2 linked regions of the Caenorhabditis elegans genome follow. The protein of the gene in region 1 interacts with the protein of each later gene in a pairwise test. Each region holds a gene or a part of one and is shown on either strand. Other genes may lie near its edges.

Evidence for each region.
Region 2: the proteins of folt-2 (region 1) and lec-2 interact in a two-hybrid assay, tested with the Caenorhabditis elegans proteins (one large-scale study listed by BioGRID).

What each region holds. Positions count from the first base shown.
Region 1 is NC_003283.11:2,868,517-2,879,369, reverse strand, and holds folt-2 (Folate-like transporter 2), read left to right. Parts: upstream 1-3,769; 5' UTR 3,770-3,891; coding exon 3,892-4,023; intron 4,024-4,849; coding exon 4,850-5,100; intron 5,101-5,322; coding exon 5,323-5,692; intron 5,693-6,088; coding exon 6,089-6,508; intron 6,509-6,553; coding exon 6,554-6,655; 3' UTR 6,656-6,905; downstream 6,906-10,853. Other genes in the region: str-39 (Seven TM Receptor), read left to right, coding at 1,068-1,566; F37B4.10 (C2H2-type domain-containing protein), read left to right, coding at 1,861-1,881, 1,931-2,089, 2,505-2,894, 2,952-3,136, 3,458-3,563; srh-243 (Serpentine Receptor, class H), read right to left, coding at 7,264-7,533, 7,591-8,009, 8,619-8,943; srh-241 (Serpentine Receptor, class H), read left to right, coding at 9,767-10,094. UniProt on the Caenorhabditis elegans protein: Unlike folt-1, does not appear to act as a folate transporter.
Region 2 is NC_003280.10:10,007,063-10,020,252, reverse strand, and holds lec-2 (32 kDa GBP), read left to right. Parts: upstream 1-4,069; 5' UTR 4,070-4,369; coding exon 4,370-4,790; intron 4,791-4,841; coding exon 4,842-7,273; intron 7,274-8,919; coding exon 8,920-8,988; intron 8,989-9,310; coding exon 9,311-9,399; intron 9,400-9,466; coding exon 9,467-9,794; intron 9,795-9,847; coding exon 9,848-10,009; intron 10,010-10,054; coding exon 10,055-10,177; intron 10,178-10,246; coding exon 10,247-10,360; 3' UTR 10,361-10,645; downstream 10,646-13,190. Other genes in the region: ZK892.5 (uncharacterized protein), read right to left, coding at 10,872-10,892, 10,938-11,024, 11,068-11,149, 11,243-11,549, 11,605-11,764, 11,809-11,908, 11,968-11,972; CaiB/baiF CoA-transferase family protein ZK892.4, read right to left, coding at 12,164-12,330, 12,436-12,623, 12,672-12,810, 12,926-13,060, 13,116-13,190.

The sequences.
Region 1 (10,853 bases):
ATGGTGATGTCTACAAGTTTGAATACTTTTCAATATTCTAAAAATTTCAATTAAAAAGCGGCCGACACCTCGCGAGGTGTAACTCGGCAGGGCCCTTTCGGAATTTTTTTTGTCGATAAATTCGGTCAATCGGAAATTTTGAACTCCGGCAATTTGCCGGTTTGCCGATTTGCCGGAATTTTTCATTTTCGGTATATTGCCGGTTTGCCGATTTGCCGGGATTTTTCATTTTCGGCACATTGCCGATTTGCCGGAAATGTTTAAAGGGATTTTTATCAGACAGAAACACTTAAAACTGTGCCTTTTTGAACATTTTTTCCCGTTTTCTTTAGGTATTTTCATAGAATTTGCTTACTTTTTCAAAATAGATTTAGGAACAGTCATAGGGTGAGTACAATTTTCATAGGGTGAGTACACATTTTTCAAAATAGATTTAGGAACAGTCATAGGGTGAGTACAACACGCCGGTTGAAATTGAAATTCAGAAATTTCAAAAAAAAAGTGCAAAACCACAATTTGCCGAAAATTGCCGGCAATTTGCCGCTTTGTCGGCTTGCCGGAAATTTTCAATACCGGCAATTTGCCGATTTGCCCATTTTTCGTAAAGAATTTTCTTTGTTTATATTAATAACTTATTTTTTCTAGAGTAGTGCTGACCGAGCGCAACTTCCAAAAATGGCGCAAGAACATTTTTTTTTTAACTTTTTGCTCAATTATACTACTCAAGAAAAATACTATTGAATAGGGTCAATGAAAAATTATTTGCTAAAGTTCCTTTTTCTTGAGCTACAGGAGTTTTAAATAGCTTGCTAAAATTGGCTCGCGAGGTGTCAACAAGAGGTGTTCGGCAAATCTTAAAATTGGCCGAGCTCGACAAAATCGGCAAATTTGGCAATTTTGCCGCACATCCCGCGAAATAATTTTAAACAACTAATCGTAAAACATGGATAAACCTGGAAAAAAATCATGAGCAACGGATTATTTTTTTAAATTTGTTTCTCTATAGCTTCTGGTTTGTTTTAAAAAAATCAAATAAACCAAAAACCAATTTCGTGGTTTTTTTTCAGAAATGAAATATTTGAAGTATACGAATTAGATATTTCTACCCTCCCACGACTACTCATAGTTCCTTATGATCAAAATGGCAACGTAAGAATCAATAATGTGCTATACCTTTGCATTGGAACATTTCTACTCTCTTCTCAATACCTAATAATTGTGTATTGCGGGCTTCAAATGCATTTTCAAATGCAGAAAGAGCTGCAAAAGTTTTCTGTCGCCAATCGAAAACTTCAACAGCAATTTTTCAAGGCGTTGGTTGTTCAAGTTACGGTCCCGACCATAACTTTCGTTTTGCCAGCAATGCCACTTTTGCTAGGCCCGTTGTTTGATTTGAAGATGTCTTTCAAATCTGGAGTTATTTGTGCATTATTGGGGATCTACCCATTTATCGATAGTATACTGTTTATGTTAATTGTAACTGAGTACAGAAAACATCTGGCTACACTTTGCAATTGCTTTGGCAAGAAAAATCATGTTCAGAATTCGCAATGTTTAACTATTTGAAAATGTTTATGTATACTTGAAAAAATTCCAAATAAAATTCTTAAATATTTGCCGAACGTCTACTGTCCATTTTTATAATGTTTTCCTGCAAAAATTGTATCACAAACCGCATGTGACGTCACACTACATAATTCCAAGGCGGCTGCGTATTCAGGAGCACAACCGTGTATGGTTTACCAGAACTTACCAGTCATAAACGCGCTCCATTGCTACGCGAGAGAGAAGGTGGAGTGTTTAGAGAAATTTACAAAAAGGGTGAACACCATCGATTCTTTTGGAACATCATTTTTAGTAATGTCTTCTAGTTCTCAAAATGTAAGTATATTCTATTTTTGGTTTTTTTTAAATCAAATCTTTGTTACAGATAAAATGCGGATGGAATGGATGCGGCGACAAATTCAGCTCAGAACTTGATATGAATATGCACGTAATGATGAATCACTTGATGATATTGGAATATGGAGAATTTGTGATGAATCGGCGAGCAGTGAACCGGAAAAGAGCTCGAGAACTTGCCAGAGAGGTATGGTTTTTTTTCAATTCAAATTTTATTTTTTTCCCGCTCAAATGAAAATTCCCCCTACAAGAAACTGCTGCGACTTGCTCAAAAATCGATAATTAATTATTCTTTGATTTATTATTTAAAACATAATTTGTCTTGTTTTCAGACGTTTTTAAATAAAAGAACATTTTTGTTTTTTGTAACTCTTTAGTCAGTTTTTGGAAAAATGTCTGAAAAATTTAAAACTATGTTTCAAATGGTAGATCAAGGGCACTTTCTAATTGTTAAATTTGAAAAAAAAATAGAAAAATTAAGAAAAATTCTACAAATATTTTAAACATGTGTATTTGATATATTGAGACTGTATTATGTTATTTAGCGAAAAAAATTAGTGTTTCCACAATTTCAAAAAAAATCTGATCATAATTTTTTTCAGGAATCCATGGAAATTACAAGCGAGTCGTTACACAATCCCAATGCTCTGCGGGCAGTCAAACGTGAACCTGTTCTAGAAGTCCGCGAAGTTGAGGTTCCAACTGTGAATGTAGCACCAGTTCCCGCACGACTTCCGGACTTTTGTCCACCGGCTCGAGTTCCAGAGCATCTCCAGCTTAACGGCTTTGAAGATCAGCAAAGGGATCACGAAAGTTTGCAAATCAAAGCAAATATTATGCCGGTGAGCATGCCAAGTACTGCAGATGGGCCATTAAATCGTTTCTCGCCCGATCTAGTTGAAAACGATGCAGGATCAGATTCATCTTTGCAAAATGGCAACGATCAGGCTCAATTTGATGCTCAGGAGTATCAAAATCAGACAGCAGTTACTGTAAGTTTGAACATTTTTTGAATAAACAACACTTTTCCTAATTGTAAATATTTTCAGCCCCTAAAGCTAATCGAAATCATCGACGAATTTCTGGATCGACTAAAACCGATGAAGCAGCTTGGATTTGTTCGACCACATAAACCTGTATACTGTATTGTGTGTTTGAAGTATCAAAAATCTTTCCACACTTGTAACTGGAAACATACACCCGGCGAGGATCGGGTCGCAGAAATGTGGTATAGGTATGTTTAATATTATCAATTTGGGATATTTGGCTTAAGGGCTTAAGTTTAGGCTTAGGCTTGAACTTCGGCTAAGGTTTAGGCTTTGGTTTCGGCTTCGGCTCAGACTTGAGCTCAGGCTCAGACTTAGGTTTGGGCTTAAGCTTAGGCTCAAGCCTAAACTTCGGATTAGCCTCAGGCTTTGACGTAGGCTTGGCGTCAGTGGCGAGCGTCAGCCTAAATTTTGGTTAAACAAATTTGGAAGTTTTCTCGAAATTTTTGTAGCTTTTAAACATTTTTTTTGCTGAGAAAATCTGCGTTCAATTTTTTTAAAATTTTCAGACGATTTGGCAAAGAGAGACCAAACGGTAAAACTCAGCTAATGAAGGAGCTTTGCGATATCAGACAATGGATCATACAAGAGGGAGGACTTGGAACTTTCCAATAAACTAATTTATGAAGATTTTGTTGTTTAATAAAATTTGTTCACTTACCAATTTCAGCGTTCATTTTTCGATGTCTGATCAATTGGTCAGTGATATTTTATCAGTTGGATTTTTTGTACGCCTTGATTTAATTTTCGGGGGAAACGTCATAAATTTAGGCGCGCCTGTGTAAAAAAAAAGTATAAATTTCTAAATTCCCAAAAAAAATACTATCATTCGAAAAACTGCACATTAATCGGTCTTATCAGTAAAAGTCAGCATAGTCTAACACATTTTTTTTCACACTTTTGTGGTTTTTTCTTTTAATTCCTGGAAAATTTCGCCGGTACAATGGAGCAATGGAAAGTGATGGTCCTGATTTGTATGTATGGAGCTGTAAAAGAGTTCCGGCCCACCGAACCGTACATGTATGAATATCAGCATACAGTTCTGAATATGTCAGAGCAGACTTTGAATAGTCAGGTAATTTTGAATAAAAAACTCTGTCGAATTTTATGAAAATTGTAAATTACTGTTTTTATTAATACAAAAATTTAAAAAATTTAAAAAAAAAACATTAGGGAATTTTTTCTAGAAATTACTAGAAGCAATCGACAAATTGCCGGTTTGCCGATTTGCCGTAAATTTTTAATTTCGGAAAATTGCCGGTTTGCCTATTTGCCAGAAATTTCCAATTCCGGCAAATCGCCGGCTTGACGTTTGCCGGATATGTTTAGAGGATTTTTTTTATAAGACGGAAACCCTTAGAACTGAGTCTTTTTGAAAATTTTCCCGTCTTCTTTAAAAATTTTCATAGAATTTGCTTACTTTTAAAAATAGATGTAGGAACATTCAAAGGATGAGTACAATTTTGCCGATTGAAAATTAAATCCAGAAAATTTCTAAAAAAATGTGCAAAACCAAAATTTGCCAAAACTGTTCGGCAATTGCCGTTTTCAAGGCAAATTGGCAAATCGGCAACTTGCCGGTTTGCCGATTTGCCAGAAATTTGCAATTCCTGAAACTTGCCGATTTGCCAGAAACATTCAATTCCGGCAATTCGCCAATTTCCCGATTTGCCAAAAAAAAATCGTTCGCCGCCCACCCATGTAACATTTGTTTAAACAAAGTTAGTGAATTCAAAAAAGTTTTCCAAAATTTCGAAAAACTATTTTTTTTCTTACTCGAACCCCCGTCAGTAGACACCGAATTTTTTCCAACGATCTTTATACAGCGCTTCGCAAAATTCCAATTTTTCTAAATATTCATGAAAAATGCTTAACTTTTTATTAGTTGAAATTTATTTCAGGTGTACCCTATTTGGACGTACAGCTACTTGATCACCCTGATACCAGCGTTCCTACTCACCGATGTATTTTTATATAAGCCTTTGCTAGTTTTCGAAGCGTTTTCCTATTTTCTGTGCTGGGTCATATTTGTATTTGGAAAGAGTGTCTGGAGTCAGCAAGTTCTTGAAGTGTTCTATGGATGGGCTACTGCAACGGAAATTGCGTATTTCGCGTATATTTATGTGAAAGTTCCAAAAACCGAGTATAAATCGTAAGGTCTTGTACACTTGGTGCCAGGGGCGTCCCATTATGGTTTGATCTAAAAAAAATGCGGGTATTTTTAGTCCAAACTATGCAAATTCAGTTGAGAACTCTTCGTCTCTTCTCCCGCATTTTTTGTAGATCTACATAGATGAAACCGAAATGGGACACGCGGACACCACGTGCTCTATTAAAAGTATGTACCTAGATCTTCCAATTTCTAAATTTTCAGAGCAACCGCTTTTACAAGAGCAGCACTCCTCGTCGGTCGATTTCTAGCTTATGCTCTAGCTCAACTCCTCATTGGCCTTAACTGGACATCGTATTCAACTCTTAATATTATCAGTTTGGTCGCCATGACAATTGCGGTATTCCTGGCATTAATATTACCTGGTGTTGAGTGGAAGGAAGCTTATGAGAAGAAGCTGGAAGATAATAATGTTCAAGGCAATTTAAAAGAAATCGTTGATCAGTCAAGTTATATGGATTACCTTAGGATGTTCTTTGTCGGGTTGCGGCATAATTTAATGGCGATTTATCGCAATCCGCTGATTTTGAAGTGGTCTGTTTGGTCGGCTCTTTCGAGTTGCATTTTTTATCAGGTACATCACGGGGTTCTGGCAATTATCATTGCATTTTTCGCGCTCCATTGACAATCGCCTGCCGAACAGTGCGTGGGAAAGTCGTGTACTCCACACGGACAAATACACTTAGTTTTACAATTAAAACCGAGCCGCTACGCGACATGCAACGCGCCGTAAATCTACCCCGGTCTTGGCCGAGTCAAAACGGCCTAGTTCGGCAAATTCTTGTTTAATATTCTGCTAACTTTCGGCTTCATTTTTTGGGAAAATGTTCAGAAAACATATGATATTTTGACAACTCAATAAGATTATATAGACTTGCTGGAAGCTTGAAGGTTTAAGCTTAAACACAAAGCTTAAAGCTTGATCTCAAAGCTTATGCTTTAAGTTCCTTATATATTTCTCAAATTCCAGGTCACAAACTACACCCAAACTTTATGGGGTACACTTCCGGAGTCTGCGAATCGTTATAATGGTATCACCGAAGCCCTCGTCCCACTTCTTGGCATCCCAGCTGACCTGATCACCCGCCAGCTCAACGTGAATTGGAACCGATGGGGAGACCTTCTCCTTGCTGTTGGCTCCATCGGACAAGCCGGCCTACTTTTTTGGATGTCACAATCTCATCATATCGTGGTGTTATACCTGAGTTACATATTCTATAGAGTCATATACCAGTTGACCACTACGATTGCTCAGTCTACACTGGCCTTTTCCCTGGACTCTAGACTATTTGGCCTACTCTTCGGGATTAACACATTTGTTGCTCTCCTTCTTCAATCTATTCTGACCGCTGTTGTCATAGATTGGCAGAAGCTGGATATTAGGCCACAGGTTTGTTTTGAGTATCTGAAAAATTTAAGAAACAGTTTTTTTCAGTTTGTGGTCTATTCATGTTATCATCTTGTCGTTGCATTTGGATTTGCTATTATTTTTGGAATTTGGGCGAGCAGGCGGTTTTTCAAAACGAGTACTAATTGATTTTTTGTTAACTATACTATAATATATCTAAAATTTGGGAACACTATTATGGATGAAATGAGGAAATATTTTGACGCGGAACTCATTTTTTCTAATATCAGAACAAAACACATGTTTTTAATGTTACATTTCGCAAATTTTGTGATCTAATTGGAACTTTTATCAAAACATAAAATATTAAAGTACATCCCTTTAAAAATGTTTTGACCTTCTACAATTTCTAGTATAATTTGACTACAGAGAGGGCGATATAAAGTCTACATTTTCTGTGAACTTCTGCATTTTCAATTAATTAAAATAACAGACTCGTAAAATGTCGGCTGCTGTGTATGTGTAAAAATATCGAGAAAAATTCACGGATTTCTGGCCATTTTGGCTCGGCCAGATCTGGAGTAGATTTACGGCGCGTTGCGTGTCGCGTCACGGCTCGGGTTTAGTTGTAAGACTAAAAGTATTTGTCCGGGTGGAGTGCACGACTTTCTCACGCGTTGTCCGGCAGGCGACTGTCGATGGAGTGCGAAAAATGAAAATTTCAAAAGGGATAATCATTGAGAAAAGATGGAGAAAAGAATAAAAGTTGTGAATTTGGCTAATGTAATAACGTTCATTCATACGACAACGTTAAAAGAATTTTGTAATTGATTGCTTTTATCTGTCACTATTATAGTAGGAGAATTTCTTTGCGGTTTCCAACACAATGAAAATGTAAAATCTCGATACGGCTTGTGAACCAATATCATTACAATCGTAGACACACTTCCATGTAGTGACAAGACCAAGTATCCCAAATTGTTCAATTTTTGGTTGTGGTACCAAAACATCATAAAGCAAATAAAAGTTGTAAGAGGTACCAACACAATTCCAGCTGTAGATATTGACTGAAAAAAATTAACTTTTAAAAAAGATATAATCACCTAAAACAGAGCAATACTCACCTGAATACTAACCGACTTGAGAAATTTTCTATGAATTGCCAATGTCTTTGCGGAAAGTGTGACCAACTTTTTTTTGGTTAACAAGTGATAAAGTGTCATCGAGAAAAATGTAATAATTGGAACAGCCAAAAATAAGGATGCAAATGCAATGCAAAGTAGTGGTATTACAGGACTAATGCTCAACACAAAGAGCTCTTCATCGTTAAATGTAAATTTTGGCAAACAAGGAAGTTTAGCCAAGATAAAGCTTTGAGCAGTTTCTTGCTCGGGAATAGTTAGGAATGGTGGTAGAAATATAAAAGGTATTGAAGTATAGACAGCGATGAGGTAGGCTTTTCTGATATGTTTCCATGTGGTTTTATGGGCAAACAGTTTGTAAAATCGATTTTCGTAAATTGAGAGGACGGCGGCAATCATAGCTGAAAAATTGTGTAAATTCAGTGGAAAACTATATTTTTAAAAAGGCAAACGATTTTTTCCGGCAAATCGGCAAGTCGGCAAATTGCCGGAATTGAAATATTCGGCAAATCGATAAACCGGCAAATTGCCAATTTGGCGATTTTGCCCAAACATTTTCGGCAAATTGTATATTTGCATATTTTTTGGAAACTTCAGAATTTCAATTTCAATCGGCAAAATTTTATGCATCTTATGAATGTTCCTACATTTGTTTCGAAAAGTTAGCAAATTCTATGAAATTATCTTTTAAAAAACGGGAAAAAATTCCAAAAAAAAAAACGCAGTTTTAATTGTTTCCGTCTCATAAAATAATCCCGCCAAACACTTCCAGCAAATATATTATCCGGCAAATGGTGAATCGGCAATTTGCCAAAAATAAAAAATTACGGCAATTCGGGAAACCGGCATACGGAAAATTGGCAATTTGCCAAAAACAAAATTTTTGGCAGATCAGCAAATCGGCAAACCGGCACTTTGCCGATTTGTCGGCCGAAAAAATTGCCGAACGGCAATCGCAGCACTCCCCTGACTTCATTACATTAAAAATTTTTGAATGTTATTAAACTAACCTAAAACAAGCGTAACTCCTACGTAAAATGTAACTGCTGGCGATTCAAGTAAGCCCAGGTCGAACCCAGAAATTGAAGGCAAATATAAGAATGGAATACCAATAAAGCATAGAAACAAATCAGATAGCGTATTCCAAAAGTGTAAATTTAGAATCAAAAACTGCACAGGCTTCATCTTGGCAGGAGTTTGGAATAAAATGCAATACGCACCATATATTGAAAGTGGGATTTCAATTATAGTTATAATGTGACAAGAAAATGCCACAAAATTCGGAGATGCTAGATAACTCGAATCAATAAACGGTGATATCGAGCAGTTATTCATTTTCTGAAAACCAAGCTAGAAAATAAGTTTTTCTCTTTCTTTAAAAATGTTTCTTCTTTAATAAAAACGTGTTAAATATGTTTTCCAATTAGCATTATGACACACGTGTTTTTCAAGAAAATATTAATATGTACGTTTTATACCTAGTGGGAGAATTTTTTGTTAACGCAGAATCGGTTGTGTTGACAATCGGGCTAAATTAACTTTTTCTACGAAAAATTTGCTTTTGGCGGCGTGAACACGAACTAGACACATTAGTGAACAGAATTCTAGAAATAATGTTAAAAATTATATTATGATTGTTTTTTTGTGATTGAACACCTTACATGTACAGGTGAAGTGTCTTTAGCGGGAAAACTTTTCTAACTACTTTTCCTAACTACCTCCAGCAATGCTCGAAATTGCTCGGAAAAATTTCAATTTTTGGAAAATTTGACACCGAATGGTATGTTTCACATATCGATAGTCAAAAATTTTATGGATAGGACATGCGACAGTGATATGGTTTTCTCAGAAAAAGTGGCAAAAAAACAGTAATTGCCACTTTTTGACAGTCAAAAAAAAATTTCAAAAGTTGTTTGATAAGTTTGATATTTGGTCATTTTGGCACTATTGTAGAAACAAATATTAAATCAAAAATATCATTTAAAATAAAAATCAAATAATATCAAAAAAGTTCATAGACTTTGCCACATATTACACAAAACTTTAAAACTTCATTATCAAAAGATAACCCAAGAAAATTTATTCCGCTTGACTAACCCTACTCACTCGGTTGCCTAACATCTTTTCAAACTTTTAATCAAAAAATTTTCAAATCAATATGCAGAACTGCATATCAGGTGCTGGAATTCCAGATACCAGATATTTGTCAAGTCCTAATTTTATTTCATTTACCTTACACTGTCTAACATTTCTTGAAATTCCCGTTCTATCATACGGTGCTTATTGCATTTTGTACAAAACTCCGAGCAGAATGAAATCTGTGAAGTTGCTCATGTTAAACTTGCACTTTTGGAGTTGTTTGTCGGATCTTGTGATTAGTTTTGTTGGTCTACCATACATTTTACTGCCTGCGCCCGCTGGTTATGGGCTTGGACTTCTGGATTCTCCGCAAATATTGGTTTATCTGATGGTGACATTTATTGCGGGTTAGTTTAAAATTTTTTGAATATAACTGTAAGATTTTTTTTTTCAAATTTTAATGATTTTTCTGATTGTGAGTAACGAGTGACGTCATTTTCGACACTAATGAGTTTTCTGGCAATACTGATTGGTTGTTTTATTCATTTTTTATCGTTCATATTGTAAAACATAACTTGTCACAAATGAGACATTTTTCCGCGGAAAAAGTGACATTTTTTGTAATTTTAAAGTATCGATTTTCAATTCAGCCTTTTTTTGTTGCAAAATTTTGAAATTGAAAATAAAAACAATATTTTTTTAAATAAAAAATTTTGAAAATTTTTTGATTTTTTTACAAAGTTATATTCGGCAATATTGATTGGTTTTTTTGCACACGGGTAACGGAAAAATATCTTTTGAGAAATTGTGACGTCACAGCCCTTTTCGATAAATTTATTTTCAATTGGAGCCCTGATTCTACAATAAATAAGAAATAATGTCAATTATCACAAAATTTATTTGAAAAAAAAAATTTCACGAAATTGGCTCTTAATTTGCAAACACAATTAGTCGAAATGCGCTGTGAAATCAACATTTTTCAAAAAATATTTCCCCGCTTTTCGTGTGCAGTGGAGCAATGGTATAGCCTGGCACAACGTCGATTCATTTTTTGTTGAAAAATATAAAACAAAATTTAAAAAAGACACTTTCGAATTTTGAATTTCTTTAAAAATTGTATTCGGCAATACTGATTGGTTTTTTTTTCAAACTTTTATTAAATTTCA
Region 2 (13,190 bases), on another chromosome or scaffold:
AAGGTCGAAGCTGTTTTAATTTCATGCCTTTTTGGCTTTCAAAAAATGGAAACTTCAGCTACACCGTATTGTCAATCCCTTTAAACTACAATTATTTTGTCGGCATTTTGACATTCTCTATATCAACTATACCATAAATCATTGTTCCCACTGTCTCGAAATCTGACATAAATTTCAAATGTTGTTCAGTATTGTCTATCGAATTTGGAATTCCACCAAAAAACTACCTATCACTCCGAATTAAATCAAATGAAACATTGTCACGTTCCGTTTGGGTTCTTATCGTTTCTCCAAATATAACCTTTCTCTCGGGACAGCTAGTGTAAATTTTTATTTTTTTTTGTTTGGCTGAGGTTGTTTCTGCTGGAATGTCAAAGAAAAACCGACCATATGACCCGTGGTAGATGATAAATAACACTCGATTTTCGCCCTTTTTTGTAAGGTTTTGTGGTTTTACTGACCGTGTCATGTCATGAGACTCACGAGTCAGATGTAGAAAGACACTTTTTTTATCATCGAAAAGAACTCCCTGGTAGAAAGGTAGCAGTACAGCTAGACAAATAATTCGATCCCCCTAACTGAATGAAATGTTTGAAATTGAGAAAGATGAAAGGTGACGACATAAAGAGATGTTCATGATGATGACGGTCATGACATAATTTCACAACTTTCCAAAAAAAAACCACAATTGAACAATCTAAACGGATTAACGGTTTTCCCTTTTTTCACCAAGTTTGCTTGACAATGGCAAACACACATTTACCATTAAAAGCACATACAGCATATTTTTTGAAAAAAGATGAAGCCAGCCTACCTACGTGCCTACTGTACAGCTTAAGATTATGGGGTTCTTGATTTTCCTTACTTTCCTTACTTACTCGGCATTCAAAGGCAACTTCCTGCCACACTTTGGCAGCTTATTTAGTGCCACTAAAATAAGTTGCCGAATTGCTGGCAGGAAGTTGCCGAGTTGTTGGCAGGAAGTTGTCACGTAGTGGCAGCAAGTGGGAAAAAACGCTCAGCAACATCTAAATGTTGGCAGGAATGTGCAAAAGTTTGGCAGGAAGTTGCAAGTAATCAAAGTTTGGCAGAAAGTTGCCATAAAATGGCAGAAAGTTGCCTCTGAATGCCGAGGAGCGTTTTTTCCCACTTGCTGCCACTACGCGGCAACTTCCTGCCAACAACTCGGCAACTTCCTGCCAGCAATTCGGCAACTTATTTTAGTGGCACTAAATAAGTTGCCAAAGTGTGGCAGGAAGTTACTTATAAGTGTAATTTAAAACTTTAACAATGTTTAGTAGGCACGTGCCAGGTAGGTATGTTTATGTACCTACAAGATGACCTGGCCTAGTAGGCTAAACAATTCGGACAAACAAACGCACAGACAGACTTTCGTTTAACCATACCTAAATGGATGATCCCTCATAAGTATCTGCAGGTGACAAGTAAATATAGACACTAACGCACACACATACATGTATATAAATAAAAGTAAATTTGATTTTTGAACAATTTAGATCTGTTTCCCTCCAAAGTGAACATCATCTGTGTGGGTTAAAGGTGTGTGATTGGAAAGTTTTGGGAGATTCAGGATGATGATTGTGCAAATATTTAGCCAAAGGTCATGAGTTTTGAACCAGAGAAGCAGGAAGAAAAACTGGAGGCTCCTGCTCTGTACTCGGACGATTGTTGTAGTTGCACCAAGACACATTTATAGAATATGGTATAGTTCTTTGAATTGTGAATTTTGAACATTAAAATAATATTTGAAAGAAATTAGTGCGCAGGTGTTGGAGAGAAAAAGGTTATAATATATTGAAAGGCAAATATGGAAAAGAGCAGGTGCCAAGTAAGGAATCGAAGTAAGAATGATGTTTCGGGAAGTTGGTTGGGAGCGGGTGTTCAGGGTAGATAGAAGTATCTAAGGCCTGGGTAGGCGCAAAAAGGCCTACCAGACTGACAGAGGCATGGTATAGCTGAAGACTCTTGATCCATCACGATTAAAATCGAGAAATGAATAACATTGCGGTAAAATGGATCCCTTGAACAAGATTCACAACATGTTGTGTTCTCTTAAACTCAAGAAAAGACTTTTCATGTATTCAGATCTGTACGAAATTCAAGAACAGTTTGTATTTTTAGCTCTTTACTCCCCTCCACATCCTTCTCACGAACTCTCCTGTCATATTACTTTGTGAAACTTTCTTTCAAATTTCAAGAAAAAAGTGGCTCTTCTCTCATGTCGTCCTCCTCATTTTCACTTTAAGCTTTTTTTTTCTCCCATTTCATTACCACCACATGTTCATCATCATCACCCACTCTTCTCATCTTTGGCCCGCTTCAAACCAAGCACATCTTGAAATCCGAGGCGTCGAAACAACGATGTAAACTAAACTATTTCATGAGAATGTTTCCGCCTTTTTTCACCCATTTCATGCTGCAAACTTTTTTTTTCTAAAAACGAAACATGTGGTGTGTTCAGTTCTGTCATAACCCCCATTGAAAAGTGAAATCAGAGAGAAAATGGATAAGAGAAGATAGGAAGTGTTCAGGTTGTCCTGTGGAATGCATACAGAAATTTATAAATAAATACTGGCACAGTCACATGACAGATGGGTAAATAGTTAGTATAAGTTAAGTCTCGCGGGTTCTTGATCAAATGAGTATCATTTGATTTGATGATCCAACATTATGAATCAATTTTTCCGAAAGTCCTACCGTATTCGCTCACTATTTCATGAAAGCAAAACCCAAGAAAAGTCATGGAAGACAAAAGTAAGTCTGAAGTAAAACTTTCTTTAAACCTTCTAATATTGACAGTGCAACTTTATCAAGTTCTAATTACATTTACCTTCATTTTATTTGTATTAGTGTTCAATTGTTAGAGGGGAGAGCTCCTGACTGACGAAAGGTCAACATTAGAGTAGTGGCGGCCGATGGGTGGGCGCCTATAGGAGCATCTGATAATTGTTTGTACGGACCGTCGATTGTGTAACTTCGGATCATACGACGTGTGTGTGACTCCCTCCTGCAAAAGTTCGGAATGTAAAAATTAATAGGCAAAAAACCACATGAGCATGTGATTTGGCATCCAATTTTATTGACATCAGGAGGGGGAAGACCACGAACCTCTTATCACCCCGGAAGCCAGCACCAGCTGATTGCGTCGTGTAAACATTCAAAATTTGAAAATGACACATCAAAATACGAGTGCATTCGATTCAAACAATACATAGATCAATAGACATTTCCCTTGTTCAAGATCATGTAACATATATAATCCTTTCCGTTGAGAGCCCCGTTCTTCAGGAAACACCGGAAATACATGATTTACATGAAGGGGGATTTAGACTTGCCAGCAGGAAATGCGGATAAAAAATTGGGGATAAACGATGCCACGGCATAAAAAATTGAGGAGACATTGTATACCTAGATTTTGAATTGAATTCTTCTATATCCAGATATCCAGACCTAATTCACGATGAGCTTCTTTTCATGAGTAGCTCTCTCTAATTTTGTGCACTAACTCTCATTCTTTTTGAAGAAAATTCAGATTTCATTGTTACACCATTATGCAAATCAAGTGTACATTCAAATCAGAAATTTCATAGTTTCCCCTTCTTTTCTCTCTATCATACGAACGACTAACAAATGTTCCGGAATATTTTGCAACGAATATTTTCTTCTTCAAATTCTAGAGTTCTTATGGTGAGTCTGACGTGCGTCACTTGGACACCTGAAAAATCAGCAGGCTCTCTTACCAAATCTCCAAATCTGGTGGGTTGCATTGCACTCTTTCTGTTTGCCGCACATCGGCTTCCCCCGGGCTTCACCTCCTTTCTCTTCTATCTCTCTGTATCTCTACCCATATCAGTTTCGTCTAGCTGTATCTTGTTGTCTCACACTATTTCCCGAATTGCCAGCCGTTTTTTTGCAGACGGCACACGCGTGCGCGGCGCCCCGTGTTTCTTTTTTTGTGCCCCCAGTTCATTTGGCAGAAACGAATGGAACGACAAATGAAGAGAGGGGAAGATAGAGGCGTCCTCAGGCAGCAGCGCGGTGCGCGTGCAGATCAGTCAATACTCGTACACCTGTATGCGTCTCTTTGGCGCGGCGCCTCAAAACCTCTCAAACCCTTCCGAACCTACGCCACGCCCATCCTAGGCCACTCCCATCATCACAATGTTGAAATAGTGCTGGCTCGAGAGAGACGAGTAGAGAACGAGAGTGCCTCCTTCGTTGAGATTGGCCTGGTGTGCACTTTCAGACTCATTCCGACACACTCCAAGCCTGCAAAGAGGTGTGTGTCTTGTATTTCCCTGCTATTTTCTACAACCTCTTCTCATTTCGTTGACTTTTTGTGCTAATCATGGCCGATTCGTCATCATTCTTCTCATCGGCCTTCAGCTCAGCGAAGAATCTTATTCCGTTCGCTAAGAACACAGAGGATAAGCCTGTCGATGCCGACACTGCTTCCGATGCTAAGGATGCCAAAGATTCAGCTATTCAAGAAGCCGTTCAAAATGCTTCAGCTGCTATCAATGACGTCTTCACCGATGCTGTTGATAAGCTGGAAGAGGTGAAGGATACCGTAGTTGAGCAATTTTCCAACGGTGATGAGAAGAAGGAAGAAGCTGTTGTTGAAGAGAAGTTTGATTCTGTTCATGTTGGAGTTGATGGAGAGACTGCTGTACAGGAAGCTAAAGAAGAAGTCAAGGAGGCTCAAGTTGTTGTCAAGGGTGTTTTGGCTGATGGAACTCAGATTGTCGAAGGTGTTACTGATGTCGCTGGTGAGTCGGATTTATTGAATATTCCAAATTCTGATCCTATTACTGTTTCAGAAGCTCCAGTAGCTGATGAAAAAAAGGAAGAGACTGTAGCAGCTCCTCTTGATTCTGCAGCTCCAGTTGAAGAACATAAGGAGGAATCTCACTCTTCTGAGCACACTGAAGCACCAGCTCACACTGAAGATTCAATTGTTCAAGCTGACCCAGAAGCTCGTATCGTTTTCCAAGGAGTTCTTGCAGATGGCACTCAAATTATTGAAGCTGTCTCGGCCAACCCACCTTGTATTCAAGAAGAATCTGCTCCAGCTGCAGCTGTATCTGAAGAGGTTGGCGAAGCTGTACATGTTGTTCCAGTTGATCAAGCACCAGAAGCACCCACATCGGAAGCACAGGACGCTGCTCCAATCGAGGAACATGTTGAAGTTGTGCACGTGGCTGAAAATGCATCAACACCAGCTGCTACGGATGCTCACGAGGAGACAAAATCAGCTGAGGAGCAAACACCAGTTGTTGATGCTTCTCCAGCTCAGGAGATAGTGAAGGTTGAGGAGCATGAACACAAGGAAGAAGCTGCTCCAGATGAGTCAGCTCCAGAAGCCGCTCATGATTCACATGTCGAGGAGACCGCCGCTCAAGTCGTCGATGAAGTCATCGAGGCTGTTCATGTTTCTGCTAATGAATCGGCTCCAGAAGAGCATAAAGAAGAAGTAGCCGCTGCAGCTACTTCTGAAGATCAGAAAGAACCAGCTCCAGCCTCCGACGAACATACTTCTGAATCAGCAGTAGAAGGAGCCATTGAATCCGTCCACATTGCATTGACCGAATCTGCTCCAGTTGCATCCGATGAAAACACAACTGAAGCTGCACCGGGAACTGTTGAAGAGCACAAGAACGAGGTTCATGATCCAGTTGATGGAGCTTCATCCGATGCTCCAGCTGAGGACCACAGAGAGGCTGCTGCATCATCTGAGTCTGTAGAGGAACCAATCACAGCTGTCCATGTAGAAGCAACTGAATCTGCTGCTCCAGCTGACAAAGTTCATGAAGAAACCAAAATTGATTCTGCTGCTGAGACTCATGCCGATGCTCCAGTTGTTGACGCTTCTCCAGCAGAAGATCAAGCTTCGGAAGTTACTGAAGCTCCTCATGTAGAATCAGCTAAGTCTGCACCAGCAACATCCGAAGATCACAAGGAAGATGTCGCACAAGCCACGTCTGAACAAGTTGAAACTCAAGCTCCAGCCGATGAACACAAAGATGACGCATCCCCTGCTGAGCCAACAACAGTGCAAGATGTTATTGAAGCCATTCCCATTGTCTCTACAGAATCGACACCTGCGGAACATTCCGCCCCAGCCGAATCAGCTCCTGCTCTAGCTGAAGAACACAAGGATGAAGCAGCTCCATCTGAGCCAGTTCAGGATGTTCCAGTTGAAGAGGTCATTGAAGCTGTTCACATTGCTCCAGCAGAATCAGCACCGGCTTCAGTTGAAGAAGCCGCACCATCAGAATCGACTCAAGCTCCAGTTGAAGAACACAAGGACGCTACCACAGCAGCCGATTCATCTCACGAAGAGCCAAAAGCCGAATCTGATGCTCCAGCTGCAGAGTCTGTAGAAACTGCTCCAGTCGAGGAACATAAAGATGAAGCATCACCAACGGCGCTAGAATCAGTTGAAGATGTTATTGAAGCTGTTCACGTAGCCTCTACAGAATCAGCACCAGCTCCAGTTGAAGATGCCGCATCAGCTGACTCGACTCAAGCTCCAGTTGAAGAACAAAAGGATACTGCCGCAGCAGCTGAACCATCTCACGAGGAAGCACAAGCAGATCATGCTGCATCCGTTGAAGATGTTATTGAAGCTGTTCATATCGCTTCAAATGAATCAGCACCAACAACAGAAGCAGCTCCATCTGAATCTATACAAGCTGAAGATCATAAAGACGAAGCTGCTTCCACAGCCGAACCAGCCCACGAAGAATCCGTTACAGTAGTTGAGGCATCACATAAGGAACCACAAGCAGAGTCTGCCGCACCAGTTGAAGAAAATATTGAATCCGTTCACGTAGCCTCCGAAGAATCTGCACCAGCCCCATCCGGAGATGCCGCCCCATCAGAATCAGCACCAGTATCAGAAAATCCAGTAGAAGAAGTTGCCGTAGCTTATCACGTTGAATCAATTGAATCCGTCCCAACCGACGCCCAATCAGTAGAAGAACCAGTTGTTCAACAACACGTAGGAACAGTAGAAGCTGCACCAGAAGCAGCAGTCGACGAGGAATCATTCGACGTCGTGCATGTTCACAGTGACGCCGCACATCCCGAGACGGCTACACCAGAATCTGGAAGCGAGGAGACATTCGAAAAAGTCGAGCATTCACAAGTGCAAGAGGCACCTTCTTCTGAAGAGCATAACTCTTCAGAGCCTGAAATTGTGGAAGACGTTGTCGAGAAGCAAATCGTCGCCGCAGTTGCTTCAGCTCCAGTAAGTTGTTTTTTCCCATTTTTGACTATTGAATCTATTTGAACTTACCGAACTTTTCTTCTTCCATTAAAAAAAGTTTATCTCTCATTACTTTTCTATTTTTTCTTTTTTCGAAACCCGCTTCCTCCATCTGTCATTAGTTTAGCTTTGAAGTGTTGTGTATGTGTTTGCAGCTTTCAAACACTGAAAACACCTGACTTTTTCAAAATTTCACTCAACCTGCTGCCCTCTTGACATCCTTGACATCACATAGTTATGAGTGGGAGGAACAGCTTTCTTGCATCATCTATCATAAGAGTTCAGGGGTCATTGTTTCATACATCGAACATCATCACTTCAGATGAATCACACACAAACTACCAATTTGTCGCCCTTTTACGAAATTTGTCGGTTGATTCAATTTCACTCGAAACTATAGGTAATTGTAGAGGCGAATTTAGTGAAAGAGGGTGGGAAGGCTTGAAACCGGTCCAAATTTCACCTGCATACATATAGTGTGCGAGAGGGCTTCGGTTGCGGGCACGTCAAAAATCTGTTTACTTTTTTCAAAAAATTGCCTCGGACTTTGCAGAGTTCAAATGCATAACCTGAAGTTTTTTAGGATTTTAATGTTGCATCCAACTTTAAAGCTTAAAAGCTTAACTTTAAAATTTTAAAAGACCATAAGTCAGTTCATTTTAAAGATATCAATAAAAGACTAATTACAAAACGATAGAAAAAGAAATAAAAAATATTTTGCCAGTTGACTATTTTTGAAAAAAAAAAATTGGAACAACAGGCTGCAATAAACTATTCTGTAGAGTTCCTCCCTGGTTTGATACTTGATATTTTAAGGCTATATGTTGGCCATCTTACTTTTTCCGATAAATTTTCAGATTTCTAGATCGATCAGAATTGTATCGTTGTTGTTTTTTAGATGAAATTGTTTTGTTTTTCTGTCGCTTTTACTCTCTTTCTCTCAAATAACAACATAGGCTATTCTTCGCGGTGTGAAAAGAACCGAATGATGTTGGCACGCCCAAAGCCGATATCATTCACGCGTATGGGTATCTGCCATCATCTCTCTCCCTCTCAAACAATTCTCGTTTCAATTGACAAATCGAAAAGATACAGTTTATTGTCTTTTTTCGGAAATTGAACCTAGTTTTGCGTAGAAATGTGTAATAGTGTAGTAGGATTGCTGTGTCTAGTTCATGTGTTTCAGTAAATTTAATAATAAAATTGAAAATTTCGAACAACAAAAGACACATCAAAAATGAGTCACTTTTTGTTTTTTTCCCACATTTGATGTCTGCCTGCTATCTCTTTTCCTATCCAAGTGATAAAAATTCGAAAGATACACAATTTTTCTTTCAATCTTTTTCGTCTCCTTCGGAATTTTCTCTACGGTTAAAAAGCGGAAAACGATGGGTCCCATTCTCCATTTCCATTTCAATTTCCTGTGTTCTTTTTTCTGCCAATTCCATTCCATTTTCGTTCGAAATTTGAAGAATGGATTCAATTGAACTGAAGAAAAACGATGAAGAGAATGGGCGAAAAAAGCTAATTTAGTTTTGCAAACTTTTCTTTTCCAATTTTTCAATTCACTTCCAAATATTTCTACTGTATCTGACTTGACTTTAATCCATAATTTTTTATAATTTCAGGAAACTCAACCGGAAGAATCACCGAAAAAACCAAGAAAACTTGCTGAAATGGCCCATGAGTCCGCATTCGTAAGTTTTATTTTTTAGATCTGATCTTTTTCTTCTTCTTTTTTCATTCTATCTGTCAACACTTTTGCCCAATTTATCTCAATTTTTAATTGGCTTTCTTTTCCTTTTTTATCTCAAGTCATAAAAAAACGGGCGGGATACAAATTCGTGTTTGTTAGTTGTTGCGAAGACGACGACAAATATTTTTCCTGTCAAGGTCAATATCACCTTGATAAACATTTTTGGGTGATGTTGATCGTGAAAACCCAGAATTTCGTGAAAAAATGACGGATTGAAAACGTAAATTGATAGTGATAAATTGAGTAACAAGGACGAATTTCAGCCAGTTCCATACCGTAGCAAGCTCGTCGAGCCATTTGAGCCAGGACAGACACTTATTGTGAAGGGAAAGACTGGAGAGGATTCCATCCGGTAAGTATGAAGAACCATCTTATTTATTCACAATAAAAAAATATATGTGAACTGATAAAATATTCAGCTTCACCGTCAACCTTCACACCAACACCGCCGATTTCTCCGGAAACGACGTTCCACTCCACGTTTCCGTTCGTTTCGACGAAGGAAAACTTGTCTTCAACACCTTCTCCAAGGGAGAATGGGGCAAAGAAGAGCGCAAATCGAACCCATACAAGAAGGGAGACGACATTGACATCCGCATCCGCGCCCATGACTCCAAGTTCCAGATCTTTGTTGATCAGAAGGAGGTGAAGGAGTACGAGCATCGTGTGCCACTCTCCTCCATCACACACTTCACTATCGACGGAGATGTTCTTGTCAACTACATTCACTGGGGAGGAAAGTACTATGTAAGTAAAAATAGATGAATTATACTCAGTAACTCATACTAAACTAATTTCAGCCAGTTCCATATGAGAGTGGGCTCGCCGGAGAGGGACTTGCCCCAGGCAAGACTCTTACTGTCTTTGGAATTCCAGAGAAGAAGGCCAAGAGATTCCACATCAATCTTCTCAAGAAGAACGGAGATATTGCTCTTCATCTTAACGCTCGTTTCGATGAGAAGGTATATCAATGATTTGAAGATCCGTGTAATACTCTAAAATTTCAGCACGTCGTTCGCAACTCGTTGATCAACTCCGCTTGGGGAAATGAGGAGCGTGAAGGAAAAATGCCATTTGAGAAGGCTGTTGGATTTGATTTGGAGATCCATAACGAGCCATACGCATTCGCTGTAAGTTATTTTTCAAATTAGATGTAGACACCAAAAAGTTGTTCTTTTCCATATTATCCAATATTCCAGGTCACCGTGAACGGAGAACGTTTCGCATCGTATGCTCACCGTCTCAGTCCTGATGAGGTCAATGGACTCCAAATCGGAGGAGACGTTGAGATCACCGGAATCCAACTCGCCTAAATGTTGCCCATTTTATTCTGCTCCAAGCCTCCCAAAAATTCGTTCCCCCAACCGCTCTTTCTCTGCAGTAGCTCTCCCCTTCAACTTTAAAAGAAAAATACTTTCGCTTTTGCGCGCAACTTTCAAAAAAAAAAGAACATGAATTGTAAATTTCAAAAAATTTTCAAATGTCAACTAGTCACCACCCTAATCACTGTTGCTTCTTTGTGAAATTCTAAATTTCGCTTGATTGTAAATCTTAAACTTATAAATACACACTGCAGAATAAAATCATCCGAAAACCACAATCACGTTTAGAATTCATCCAATAATGTTCAGGGAATATGATAAATATGGCTTATACGGAACCGCACGAGCTGATCCGGTCACCGTCTCGTTGGAACCCTAAAAAGTTTCCGCGAACGGATTATAACCTACGATTTCAAAGAGAGATCACAAAAAATATACAAACTGATATTTTTATTCATAAACATAAATGGGCCCTTCCATCTCCTTGTCCTGATCCGAACATCTACGCTACTCTCACTTCTCCCTGAAACCAAAATATTTCCAATTTGAAAAGTTGCTCATTTCCTACCTTCACATCCATTGCACCAGATGTTGTCACAGTGACATCAGCATTTTCATTAATCTGAGCTTGGACAGTCTTCTTTTGGTGTTTCTTCTATAATAAAACTTTGTTATAATTATCCAGAATTAAGAATTACCGAAATAAAACGTTTTCCTTTGGCTCCATGCGACAATTTATGAGCAGAATTATCATTCGAACTGGTAATATTGCAACTGGACCTGCAAAAAACTTGCTCCCGGTGAGGCTCGAACTCACGACCTTCAGAATATGAGACTGACGCGCTCTCATAGTGTCTAGAGTAGAGTACTTACAATTTGGTCTTCTTCAATTTTCCCAGAGCCCGTGCCACCGCTTCTTCTTCTGTCTTCCTAAAGTTCATCTTAACCATCACTAGTGGTGTGAAGTGCCATGAGCCACAAATGCACATTGCACAGTTGATAATGGAAGTGAAGACGATGATGGAGTCGTAGAACAAGCTCAAAAGGCCATACTCGGAATATTTGGTGAATGTGCTCTTAAAGTGACGACGGAATCCTGGATCCAGATGCTGGTTTGCAATTTGGAAAAGTTTCAGCGAAGCAGCAGCGAAGTAGAGAAGAGTGAGGAATACCAGAAGTGCTGAAAACGAAATAAAATAAGAAAATAGTAGTTGTATATCTGATAGGTAACTTACCACATTTTTTGGTAAAAATCGAAAAATAGACCAAGGAAATCACCAGGAACATCACACAAGTAGTAATCATAAATGAAATATGCACCAAACTATCAGCCATGTGAGCATAAGCTTCCGATAGGTAAATATACCATCCGACAGTTGTACACCATTGGAATGTCTATAAAATAGTTGTTGTTCAACTTCAATCAAGAGATTACTTACTGCGAGAATTGCAGTGGCAGAAACCACATTCAAATAGTGACGACGACGTTCGATGAGCTCACGGATTTCAGTTGCATCTTCCGGATATTCTTTTAGATCGCTTAAAATGTTTATGAATATTACCAACTATGGATGGTAACAGCTCTAAATGAAACCAACCTCATTTCGTTTCGAAAGTCAATCGTTTCACTGTCTCAATGTTAAAGTTGAAATAAACTTTTTTTTAATGAAACTTATGAGTACGTGGAATTCGATTTGTTCTTTTGTGGAAAAATTTGTGAAAGTTCACGTCACACCTGAAACCGATAACAATTTTTCAACGAAGTTTATGGGATGAAAAAATAGAAAAAAGTTATCATTTCTTTGACGAAAGTGCAGCCAACTCATCTTGCGTCCAGACTCTGGGAGAAGGATTTGCGATCCAATTACTACTTGTTTTGGTAAAACTATTACGGTCGACATGCTGACCATAAGATCCGACTTCATGAATATCCAAAACTGGAGTTACACAGCATTCTTGGCCTGAAGAAATGCGATGTTCAAAATTAGATTAGACCATATATTTGGTTTTGTTTGCTTTGCCCTGGTATTTCAATAAAGTGAAAATCGACTATGAGTTTCTACTACCTTTAAAAATGTTTGCCCATTTATCACGAGTTTTTTGTAGAAATCTGCTCTCCAAATCTTCTGTAATTTTACCGGGATTTACGAACAAGTCACGTCCATCTACATTCAATAATTTGAACAAATTTTGATAGAACTTCGGCTCAACTGCTCCAACTGCTACAAACTTGTCATCTTTCGTTTTATATGTCCTGAAAAGTATCTTCAATATTAATCATAATTCAGCTTTTTAGGCAGACCTGTAAATCGGACATTCACCACTAAATAATGCATATTTGTCAGTGAACAGGTTCGGTTGGTCATAGTAATGCTGTACAAACGAAGACAAATAAGCAACACCTTCGGTCATCGAGCAGTCTAACAAGCATCCTTTGCCTCCTGAATGAGAATAGTTTTAGAATAGTCTGCAAGTTAATTTTTTGGTTAGCTCTTAAACTAATAGTGAATACAATGGAAATTTAAGTTAAAAACACTATTTGAAAACAGAACGTACCATTATGAGATCTTGCATAAATTGCTGACAGAATTCCAAATGCGGCTGACAAACCACCGCCAGCAAAATCAGCCAGCATATTTGCAGGAGGCCATGGCCGTGTTGCATTGACTCCAGAGAACGTTGGAAGCATACCTGTAAAGTTTTCAACATGAGAATTGCCCTTATAACAGCCCTTGGGATAACTGACCACTCAATGCCACATAATTGATATCATGTCCAGTTTCTTGGCTCATTCTCCCTGTTTGACCGTAACCACTTATTT